Cricetulus griseus: one gene and its partners. The protein of the gene in region 1 interacts with the protein of each later gene in a pairwise test. Links are inferred from orthologs where the notes say so. Each region holds a gene or a part of one and is shown in the gene's direction. Other genes may lie near its edges.

What was found.
Region 2: the proteins of Gfap (region 1) and Kiaa0408 interact in binary tests that used the Homo sapiens proteins (3 or more experiments, as listed by UniProt). The link is inferred for Cricetulus griseus from reciprocal best matches to the Homo sapiens genes GFAP and KIAA0408.
Region 3: the proteins of Gfap (region 1) and Ribc2 interact in a two-hybrid assay, tested with the Homo sapiens proteins (2 studies listed by BioGRID and IntAct). The two-hybrid records come from large-scale screens. The link is inferred for Cricetulus griseus from reciprocal best matches to the Homo sapiens genes GFAP and RIBC2.

The regions. Positions count from the first base shown.
Region 1 is NC_048600.1:115,224,037-115,228,152, forward strand, and holds the start of Gfap (glial fibrillary acidic protein), read left to right. Parts: upstream 1-1,199; coding exon 1,200-1,654; intron 1,655-2,484; coding exon 2,485-2,545; intron 2,546-2,766; coding exon 2,767-2,862; intron 2,863-3,840; coding exon 3,841-4,002; intron 4,003-4,116.
Region 2 is NC_048595.1:247,808,118-247,812,546, forward strand, and holds the start of Kiaa0408 (uncharacterized protein KIAA0408 homolog), read left to right. Parts: upstream 1-1,559; 5' UTR 1,560-1,626; coding exon 1,627-1,800; intron 1,801-4,429.
Region 3 is NC_048595.1:381,976,491-381,979,115, forward strand, and holds part of Ribc2 (RIB43A-like with coiled-coils protein 2), read left to right. Parts: intron 1-318; coding exon 319-546; intron 547-2,625. UniProt on the Homo sapiens protein: Microtubule inner protein (MIP) part of the dynein-decorated doublet microtubules (DMTs) in cilia axoneme, which is required for motile cilia beating.

The DNA.
Region 1 (4,116 bases):
AAAATGAAGATTCCAGCATGCACAACCAACTCATTCATAGCTACTCTGTAGAGCTGTCAGGGGCCAGGCTCGGGGAGGAGTAAAGGGAAGCTGGACCAGGAAGAAATGGCCCAGTAGGCTAGACACGATGCCAAAGAGGGGCTCAGGAAGGAGGTCTGCTATTGTACCCTATTAGGGTCCTCATGCATTCCTTCTGTCTTGCCCCTTAGACACACAGCTAGAGGCCCAGGCTGGCCCTGGAGTCATAGGGAGGGCCCCAAGCCCAGCCCTTCACTCCTGAACTCCAGGAATGAGAAGACAGGATGGCAGGGAGAGGACTCTGGACACCTGTTGGGAATGGGAGTCAGCAGGAAACTATCATATAGGCTGATCCTGGAGGCAGGGCATAGATTCTTCAAGTTCCTAGCATCTCACAGGCCCATGGAAAAGTGCAGAATGAGGGTAGCCCTGGCTTCTAGACGCTAAGAGCAGGGGGCAGCTCACCCAACCCAGCTCGTGCTCACCCTCTCTCTCTCTCTCTCTCTCTCTCTCTCTCTCTCTCTCTCTCTCGTGTGTGTGTGTGTGTGTGTGTGTGTGTGTGTGTGTGTGTGCGCGCGCGTGCGTGTTTGCTCACATGCTCGAGTGCACCTACACACAAATGCTTGTTCATTGCAAGATATTCCTGTGTGGGCCCATGTGCACTGAGGTTAAATGTCAGCATCAGGTATTGTTCCTCAGACACTGTTGCCTTGGTTTTCTTTGAGACATCGTTTCTCTCTGGGACCTGGAACTCACCCATTAATCAGTGAGACCCAAGGATCCTCCTGGTTTTCTTTCCCCAGCACTGGAGTTACAAGTACACATCGTCAGACCTGACCTTTTGTTTTCATTCTGTGACTAGAACTTGAGTCTTCATGCTTGACAGGCAAGCAATTTATGGGCTGTTTCCTCAGCCACTCTAGCCCTCTCTTGACCCATCTTACCAGAAAGGGGTTTTTCTTCATCACTGGTGAAGCCAAGCTGGTGTGCCCAGGGAAACCTTGACTCTAGTACAAAGACCTCAGTGGGGTGAGAGGAGCTCTCCCCGTAGCTGGGCTAGGGCCCAGCTCCACCCCCTCAGTCTATTCAGTGGGGTGCTGCCAGGAAGTCAGGGCAGAGCCAGTTCAGCCCATTCCTCCATAAAACTCTGACATCCCCAGAGCCAGCAGGGCCAGGGCAGGATGGAGCGAAGACGCATCACCTCTGCACGTCGCTCCTATGCCTCCTCCGAGACGGTGGTCAGGGGCCTGGGTCCCAGCCGCCACCTGGGTACCATCCCACGCTTCTCTTTGGCTCGAATGCCTCCTCCACTCCCTGCCAGGGTGGACTTCTCCCTGGCCGGGGCTCTCAATGCTGGCTTCAAGGAGACTCGGGCCAGTGAGCGCGCTGAGATGATGGAGCTCAACGACCGCTTTGCTAGCTACATCGAGAAGGTCCGCTTCCTGGAACAGCAAAACAAAGCACTGGCAGCTGAGCTGAACCAGCTTCGTGCCAAGGAGCCCACCAAACTGGCGGACGTCTACCAGGCAGAGCTGCGAGAGCTGCGGCTGCGGCTGGACCACCTTACTGCCAACAGTGCCCGGTTGGAGGTGGAGAGGGACAATCTGGCACAGGACCTGGGCACCCTGAGGCAGAAGTGAGGAGGGGGTCAGGGAAAATGGCTAGACAGAACCGAGAGGGATGCCTATAAGGAAGGGTACTGACTCTGGCAAGGGCTCGGCGTTTCAGCTGCTGCATTTCCCCATGCCTGGGAAAGGGAGAGCTATCTTTGCTCCCTAATATGATGGGAATAGGCAGGGAGAGGCCAGAACTTCAGCGATCTGATTCCCAAAGGTCTGCTGCCAGGGAGCCTGGCACGCGGGACATCTCCACACTGGGGAAGGCTGTGTGGGCAGCGAGGGCACCAGCCAGCAGGTGCTCTGCTTTTTCATTCATTTGGCACTGTGAATCTGACGAGTGAAGGCTTATGTCCACAAGGAGGCTCTGGTCTCTGAAATAGAGAGAATGAAAGAAAGGGCAGGCCTGGGTGCAGAACCCCGATGACTGTCTGTCACCAGTTTTTGTCATAGCTGTGAAGGAGAGGTCATGATACAATCTGTCCTAAAAGGTGGAACTCTGGGGCATGGTGCTTTGCTGAGTGGTGGACATTCGTGTGCCCATATAGTGCAGGAGGTGCACTGGTGTCTGTAAAGCGTGCACATGGTGGTGGATGCGCCTGTGCGAGCATGAGCAGGTGCACCAACCCCGATAAGGCACCTCAGTAATGAGTTAAGGCAGAAACTCTTATCTGCTGCTTACTCTCTCAGCCAGGGCCTCTGTTTAGGAAGCCTCTGCTCCTTACGTCTCCTGCCACTCTGTGGGTCCTGTGAGAGTGTTTTATGACAGTCAATTCCATAGAGGTTGGGACAGGGATCTAATAAGAGTTCTTAGGAAAGCATTAAGCCCATACTGTGTCCCATATCCCAGGCTCCAAGATGAAACCAATTTGAGGCTGGAGGCTGAGAACAACCTGGCTGCCTATAGACAGGTCAGAGAGATGGGAGGGATGGGCAGCTGGGGTGGGGGTGTGTGTGTTGGGGGTAGGGCTTGGGGGTGGGGTTAATGACTGCCCACCCAGACATAGGCCCTGAACTTAACCCTTCACTGCAGTTGCCTGCTTCCCAGACCCCCACAAGGAGGGAGAAGACAAAACTGGAGGTTGTAGTGGGGTGGGCTCTGGGGTCAAAAAAGGCCCTCTCCCCACTCCAGGAGGCAGATGAAGCTACCATGGCCCGTCTGGACCTGGAGAGGAAGATTGAGTCGCTGGAGGAGGAGATACAGTTCTTGAGGAAGGTCCATGAGGAGGTGAGGCCAGGTGGAACGAGGGAGGCCAAACAAGAATCTTCAAATGAAAGAGACAGACAGATGGACAGATAGATACTTAGAGAGGGAAACAGAGAAGCCAACTGTCAGGAAGAAAGAAAATGAAAGAGAAAGAGTGAAGACAGAGAGACCAAGGGAGGTGTTTTCCAGTGTCTCCTACCCCTGGAAAATGCACACAGGCCCTCCCCCACCACCATGTTTTGAGAAGCACAAGGCCAGGTCTTTAGTTTCTTCTCCACATCAGCTCTGTGAGCCCTTCTTGTGGTCTCCTTTCATAACAGGAAGGATGTTGAATCCTAGAGAAGTTAAAAACAAAACAAAACAAAACAACCACCCCAAAGTCACACAGCCTGTCTGGTTTCACCCTCTCCCCCACTTGTCACCAGGAAGATGGGAGACAGTCATGAAAACCCCTCTGAGGACATGCCATCTCAGCATTTGGGAGGTAGAGGTAGGAAGCTCAAAGTGTTTAAGGCCAATTTCAGCTACACAGAAGATTTGAGATCAGCCTGGTCTCCATGAGACCCTGTCTCAAATACACACACACACACACACCCCTCTGTTCTCTGACCTCAGAGCCAGGATGCAGGACATATTCATGCCTGGCTCCTGAACACACAGCCCTGGGAGGAAGACGCCCTCAGATTCTCATTCCATACCCATTAGGGTTTTTATTTCTACTTTTTAACAGGGTCTCACTGTGTAGCCTTGGCTTGCCTGGAACATTCTATGTAGAGCAGACTGGCTTCAAAATCATAGAGGACTGCCTGCTCCAGCCTCTCACATGCTAGGGTTAAAGGTTAAATGGCACATGCCCATTAGCTTAGGCTATGCACTTCCTCCAGTAAAGGCTGCCCCATTTCCCTGAGCCAGTGACATATCTGGGCAGGCAAAAGTGTGATGCTGGGAGAGCCCCAGCTGTAGCCTGGGCCTGAGATACCCCTTCTTTTACCCTATTAGGAAGTTCGAGAACTCCGGGAGCAGCTGGCCCAACAGCAGGTCCACGTGGAGATGGATGTGGCCAAGCCAGACCTCACAGCGGCCCTGAGAGAGATTCGAACTCAATACGAGGCAGTGGCCACCAGTAACATGCAAGAGACAGAGGAGTGGTATCGGTCCAAGGTACCCGTGGGCTAGCCTGCCTCTTCCAGGCAGCCCTTCCTGATCCACACTGGGGAATAGGGAAGGAGGCTTGGAAAATAACCTATCTAGGTGACCAGCTTGCTCAGAGAAGTG
Region 2 (4,429 bases), on another chromosome or scaffold:
GTTACAGAGGGGTCATGAGAGCATGTTTGTAACTAAATTTGAAATTGTTTACTTTTGCTAACTGAATCAGTAATGATATTGTGAGTGCCAAGGAAATATGCAAAAACTATGGCAAATGTTTTTGAGAAAATATAGATCTTACCATTAATAGACTTTTTTTGTTGTTTGTTTCTTTATTTTTAAGAAGCAGAGCCTGCATACAGAGTTATGTTTCTAATTCCTTCTAGTCTATAATAATTCATTCCTATCTTAACTGGAAAGGCCTGACAAAATTAATCTTTCATTGCCATATAATATATGGGGTGTGAAATATGCATCTGTCTTTGGCGAGTGCAAACTTGTTCTTGCTACATAATCATACAGACTTAGTTCTTCCAGGAACACCACAACACTGACTATTGGCAAATTCGTGCATCAGTAACAGAAAATGGTATAGCATTATGACCATGTATTAGTAAAATGAAGCATCAGAGTTTGGGTTTTGTTTGGTTTTTGTTTTCTTCTCTTTCTTGTGTGTGGATGCACATGCACACATTGTTGCATACATGTATGTGCTGGAGTTCATCCCAGGCCCTTGACAAGCTAATCATGTGAGCCTGCCAAGTTACCCATAACTCTGTTTCTTATTGGCACAGTTATTTTAAATAAAATTGGTGCATTACCAATAAGCTTTTCTATTCACTCCAAAGATACATGATTTTATTGATAAAAACTTTCTTCAGATAAAGCAAGATTTTTAAAGTCCAAAGTATTTTTTAATTTCTCAAATTACTGTGTATTTATTATACTATCTAAAGTTCATAATAATGCTATGGATATCCTCACTTTAGTGTAAAAAATATCAAAGCTTATAACAGAATTATATATCTGGTATTTAAAGGTTAATTTTAACTATGTGTATATTTGGGGATAGGATATGTGCACGTGTCAGTGCAAGTGTCCACAAAATTCAGAAAAAGATATTGGATTCCCTGAAACTGGGGTTACAGGTGGTTGTAAGTCACCCACTAAGGGAGCTGAGAACCAAATGTGGCCCCTCTGTAGGGGCAGTATGCAGTTGTGAGGTCTGAGCCATCTTTCTAGCCCCTAAGTCCAAGATTTTAAATTGTCTCATCAAGCCCGAAATATTAATATCCTGAATGTTAGAAATCAAGTCATTTTGGTCACTACTTAGTGTAGCATAAGAAAACTTCTCTTCAGTTTCCTATAGTTATTATTCAAGACGTGTATAGTCCAGGTGAAAGAAGAGAGGCCATGAGTAAGTTTTAAGATGTGTCTCACAGAATAATGATAATACTTGAGATTTGACTTAAGAAAGGAAAATAATGATCTTTTTTCATTTTAATATTTGCATGGTTTGTAGTTAAGACACTAGTCTTCTGAGATGACCTACTTTGGGTCTTGGTACAGTCCTTCCACTTGACCTGGGGAGGATCTTGCTTCTTTCCTGTTTAGTTTTCTATAGTTAATTATGTCATTGGGTCTTAACAAAATATTTCCACAAAGCGCGTGAACTTGGGACTCTGTCTTCTTATGTTTATCTCAGGCTTTATTTTAAAAGGCAAGTGAGACCACTTCAAACCAAACACTTCCACACTTCCAAGAAACAGCTGAGAGAAGGCAGAGATGAGCAGAAACCCTTTGGCTGACACTCACACAGTTGCCATGGACCTGCATAAGCAGTGGGAGAACACAGAGACCAACTGGCATAAGGAAAAAATGGAATTACTGGACCAGTTTGATAATGAAAGAAAAGAATGGGAAAGTCAGTGGAAGGTCATGCAGCAGAAGATTGAAGAGGTATGAGTTGATTTGTTTAAAGATGCTGTAAACTCCAAGCTAAATGTGAAAATCCTGCTGACATTCATTTTCTATTGGGGACTACTTTCATTTCTCTTCTTCCACCAAAGAAATAAACGTCTTATGACGCTAGATCAAAACCAGCATAACCACACCTAGTGGTGTCTCTGAGAGTGCATTTATTTTATAGTCTTACATGAAAATACAGACCTTGAAATGGTTCTCAGCCTCGCTAATGCTGTGACCTTTTAATACAGCTCCTCATATTGTGGTGAGCCCACCCAACCATAAAATTATTTTGTTGCTGCTTTGTAACTGTAATTTTGCTGCTGTTATGAATCATAGTATAAATATCTTACATGTATACTAACTTATATGTGAGCCCAAAGGGGTCACAACCCACAGGTTGAGAACTGATGCTCTACAATGTATCAATTTAGTATTCTCTGATTTCAGGTTTATGGTACCAAAAGTAATGTATATGTTCTGTATGACTCCTCAGCTACTACAGCCTAGAATGAAAATGCAAGAAATAAATAATTGGTGGGGCATACAGTATCAAGATTATAATTTGATAATCATATACCATCTCCTTTCTTAGAAATGACTAATGTATACCAAATATTGTCAAATAACTCAGAAGCATCAAATGTATGTCATATGTCAGACAGAAAAATGGTAGAGGACATCAGATTTATTCTGGCAATGTGTTAATAGGAAATGAATTTTTTAAATGACATATCATGGCTCTGACACAGTCAATAATTTTATTCTCATTAATCACCCCCTAGTCATCCTCGACTTTTGCATGAAATGTTCCTTCAGACATTTACTTTAGTGTGCCTTCGAGCTTGCTCCAACTGAAATTTATGTATATTAATTTTGCTATATTTCATTCAATAAATAATATTGAATTTTTTGGTTTCTTCAACTTAACAAGACAGTTATTTAACAGATTCCCGGGCCTTATTTTTTTTCTTTAGCAGACAAGCAAAGTAAGTGCTTTGTATGTTTACAGTGCAACCATGCTTCTTTCTGATTAACAGAAAACAAATAGGTTGTGAGTAAAATACACAAGTGGTATGCCATAATGGAAAATAAAGGATGGGGGTATTAAATCCTTCCTCTAGGGAATAATAAAGGTGAGACATCTGTGATTAATGATTCCAAAATAAATCTACTTTTACTACTACATTTGAAAAACATATTGTACTAGCGTCCTTCACTTCCCTTATCCAAGGGCTTTCCTACCTGTGATTAAAACAGCATAGTTGAGAGTATATTTATAAAAATGTGCTACATATACTGCCCATAGGTAATATCTCAATGCCAGCACTGTGTGTCTTCTTCTGGTTATATACATATGGACTACAGTGTACAAAGCTAAGATAAAAATACTGAGAAAACCACAAGGGGGGTGCTTGGAAATTGTATGGTTCAAACATAGTGAAGTATTTTTTCTTTAGCAAATATGTTGTTTAACAAGTACAGTACGTGTGTTTAAAGTTACTAGGCTCTAGTATTAAATTCTTTCAGGATATTGAGCCATGTGCTAGAAAGACGCAGACTCCAGAGTGTGCATCTGTAACATTGGTGATTTTAAGTAATAATACAATTGAGTGAAAGCATCCAGTATGAAGATGGTCCTGTATCTCTGCTGAGTCCCTCTCCGCATTCATTACAATTGCTATTGAAAATCCAAGGCATATGTACTCAGACAATTTGAAACCTGGAATAATTCCCTATGAACTATGATCATGTATAACTTAGCTGATAGAAATCTTGAAATTTTTTTGTTCCCTTGCAGTCTTTTCTGCTTGTGTCATTTGGTCATTCAGCTATTGAACAGGAAAAATTTCCTATACCAAAGAAAAAGTTTTCCATTTGTTACAGTGTACTAGTACTAGTTTCAGGGGGTGGGGGGCAGAATTCTTGCTGCTGCTGTTTTAATTTCTCAACTAAGTTGAGTTTTGGGAAGCTATAATGGCATAAAATTACATATAAGTTAAATTATACCAAACCAAAAACTGAAGGATTAGATGAATACATGAAAAGGAATTGTATATAATACACAGGAGTGGGTCTTTCTAGAACCCAATATAGTTAACATGCAAAATGAAAAGCCATGAGTTGTGAATAGCACAATTTCCCCTGGGTCTAAAAATATAGCAATTTTCTTTTTAATTCAGGAAATTTTTTGTTTTGTTCTGTTTTGAGACACGGTTTCTCTGTGTAACAGCCTTGATGGTCCTGAAACTTGCTTTGTAGACCTGGCTGGACTCGAACTCACAGAGATTCTCCTGCCTCTGCCTCCTGAGTGCTGGGATTAAAGGTGAGTGCCACCATGCCAAGTCTATTCAGGAATTCTTAAAAATGGGAAAACACTGCCAACAATATCCTTAAATTTAACAGGGGACTTTGGGGGTTGTTCCTTATATCATTCATGTTGAAGAACAATTCAATACAATTAATTTTGTAGGCATCAAAACAATCAATTTATTGCTGTAGTTTGGAAATGAGTGATTAAAATCTTTATCAATATTGGGGAACTAAAAGCACCATGTATCCTTAATGTATTAGTTATGTATACTCTCTCAACTGGAATTATGTATAAATATTGAGTATGTTA
Region 3 (2,625 bases), on another chromosome or scaffold:
ACTGTCAGGACTGCTGAGGCAGTCGTATGCTTCTCCCTTTAGAAGTCACCACTGTGGCAGTTTGTGGTAGAGGCCTACAGATGTCCAAAGGTTTTTAGGATATACACTGCCCTATACTGGAGATGAGCCAGTGGAGAAGCTCCTTGCTGTGACAAATTGATGCAGAGACCCATAGTAGTACACACACCGGTGGGGAATGCCCCAAAGCCCAGCCACTGCCCAACAGAGCTCTGATAGTCTCCAGCCTGCAGCCAGGGCCCAGATGAGGTCTTGACCCTAAAGTCACTCCAGGGTATTCCAAGGTCCTTCTCTGCACAGGCTATGGAGTTGGCAGAAAGGAAGAGGCAAGAGAAGCAACAAGAGCAAGAGGACAACATGACTGAGATCTCCAACCTGCTGCATAGCGACTTGCTGACTGAGAGCTCACAGCAGGCAACCAGCTCCTTTGGGCCTCATCAAGTGGTCCTTTACCGCTGGAAGGGCATGAGCCCGGAGCAACTGGAAGAAATACGCTACACTCAGAAGCAACAAATCCAGGAAAAGTTGGTGAGCCCCTCCTGGGCCTCAGAGCCACCTCTGTGCCCCTGAATTGCCCTGACACCCAGCTCCTGTGTCAATACTCACTTTGAGAAATCCTCTACCACGGCAGTTTTCATTCTGGTGTGTGGGGGGGTGTAGATGGAAGTTTCTGTCCTGCCCAGTCCCACAGCTGTTTAGTTCCAAATGAACACACAGAGGCTTATATTAATTATAAGTTGTTTGGCTGATAGCTCAGGCTTCTTATTAGCTAGCTCTCTCTTAATTATTAACCCATTTCTATTAATACATAGGTATTTCCATGTGGTGTTGGCTTATCATAGAATACCTGAGTGTCTTACCTTCCCTACATGATGTCTCCTGTTGACTTACTCTTGTTCTTCTTCCCAGCACTCTCCTACTCTGGTAGCCCCACCTATACTTCCTGCCTGGCTCCATTCTGCCTGTCCACTGGCCAGAACAGTTTTATTCAATAAGAAAAACATATATTCACAACATACAGAAGGATATTCCCCATGGGGGTGTGGGCAGGCAAGAGCCAAATACAATGGTCACACATGATGTGTGGAGCAGAGGATGACTACAGCCTTTGGAGGATGGAACTTGTGTCTACAGAGATGGGAAGTTGGTGGGAGGGGCACTCGGGTTGTGGGGGCTCATGAGCACAACTTTGCATATGTTAACTGTGTAATGTCCACCAGACATCTGTGGGATTAGGTTTGCCTGATGTGACAAAAGAAAAGAACACCAAAAAGCACAAGCTAAAACATTCTAAACAAGGTAGAATCCAATCTGTATGTAATCAGTCCTCAAAGCAATCTCAAGCTTGAAGAGAAGTTCTGTGGCCACTGTATTCTGCCATCCTTGGCGCCTGGTTCTAACTTTGTGCAAAATGGCTGCTTAGATGCCAACCATTGCATACATGAGCAAACAGTGGAGAAAGAGAAGTAAGGATAACATTTTTAAGGAGTTTCACAAGACATTTCCAGACATGTTTCATTGGACAACATTTAAATTGCTCCAACTGTAAAGGACATTGGGAAATGTGTCACTAGTGATTCTTTTTTTGTTTGTTTGTTTTTTGTTTTTTGAGACAGGGTTTCTCTGTGGCTTTGGATACTGTCCTGGAACTAGCGCTTGTAGACCAGGCTGGTCTCGAATTCACAGAGATCCACCTGCCTCTGCCTCCCGAGTGCTGGGATTAAAGGCATTCACCACCACCACCTGGCCTAGTGGTTCTTTACTAAGGATGGCTACTGGGGACTCTTACATTTTCTGTCTACAATTTCCAGGTGAGGTGTAAGAGGGGAGAAACAGAGAAGGAAGCAGGGTGTATAATCAGGTCTCAGAACAAGGACTAGGCTAGAGCCTTATGTTTGGGAGTTGTCATCTACAGAAAGTAATACGGTAGCAGTCCTGGGTGTGACCATAGGTGAAGAGACAGGAGAGGAGCCCTGAGGTCTGGGGCTCAGGCATGGCCTTCATTTACAAAGCAGGAACCTGCTAAAGGTACCTGGATAAGAGGTGGGTAGATGGATGTCAAGAAGGATGTCTGGAGGTCAAGGAAGGAAAAGTGTTCCTGGAGGGTAGTGCAGGAACCCCTGCACCACAGTCCAGGATGTGGACTGCCCCCTCAGCAACCCACCAGGCAGAAGTGCTGGTGGGGTGAGGGAGGATCACTCTGTGATTGGCTGCAGGGAAGGCTGGCCTGGGAGGAGACAACAGGGCAGGAATGGCAGAAGGCTCTGTCAGTCTGTCATACATCTGTTCAGCTGGACTGTGGAATGAAGGTTGGCTCTAAACCCAGTATTTTGATCCAATTTTTAATCTAGAAGATTTAGAAGGCAGGAACACACAAAGCGAGAAAGACCACATTAAGATTCTTGCTCAGGGCTGGGCATTGGTGGCCCACACCTTTAATTCCAGCACTCAGGAGGCAGAGGCAGGCAGATCTCTGTGAGTTTGATACCAGCCTGGTCTACAGAGTGAGTGCCAGGACAGGCTGCAAAGCTACACAGAGAAACCCTGTCTTGAAAAACAAAACAAACAAACAAACAAACAAAGATTCTTGCTCAGGCCCTTGCTCCA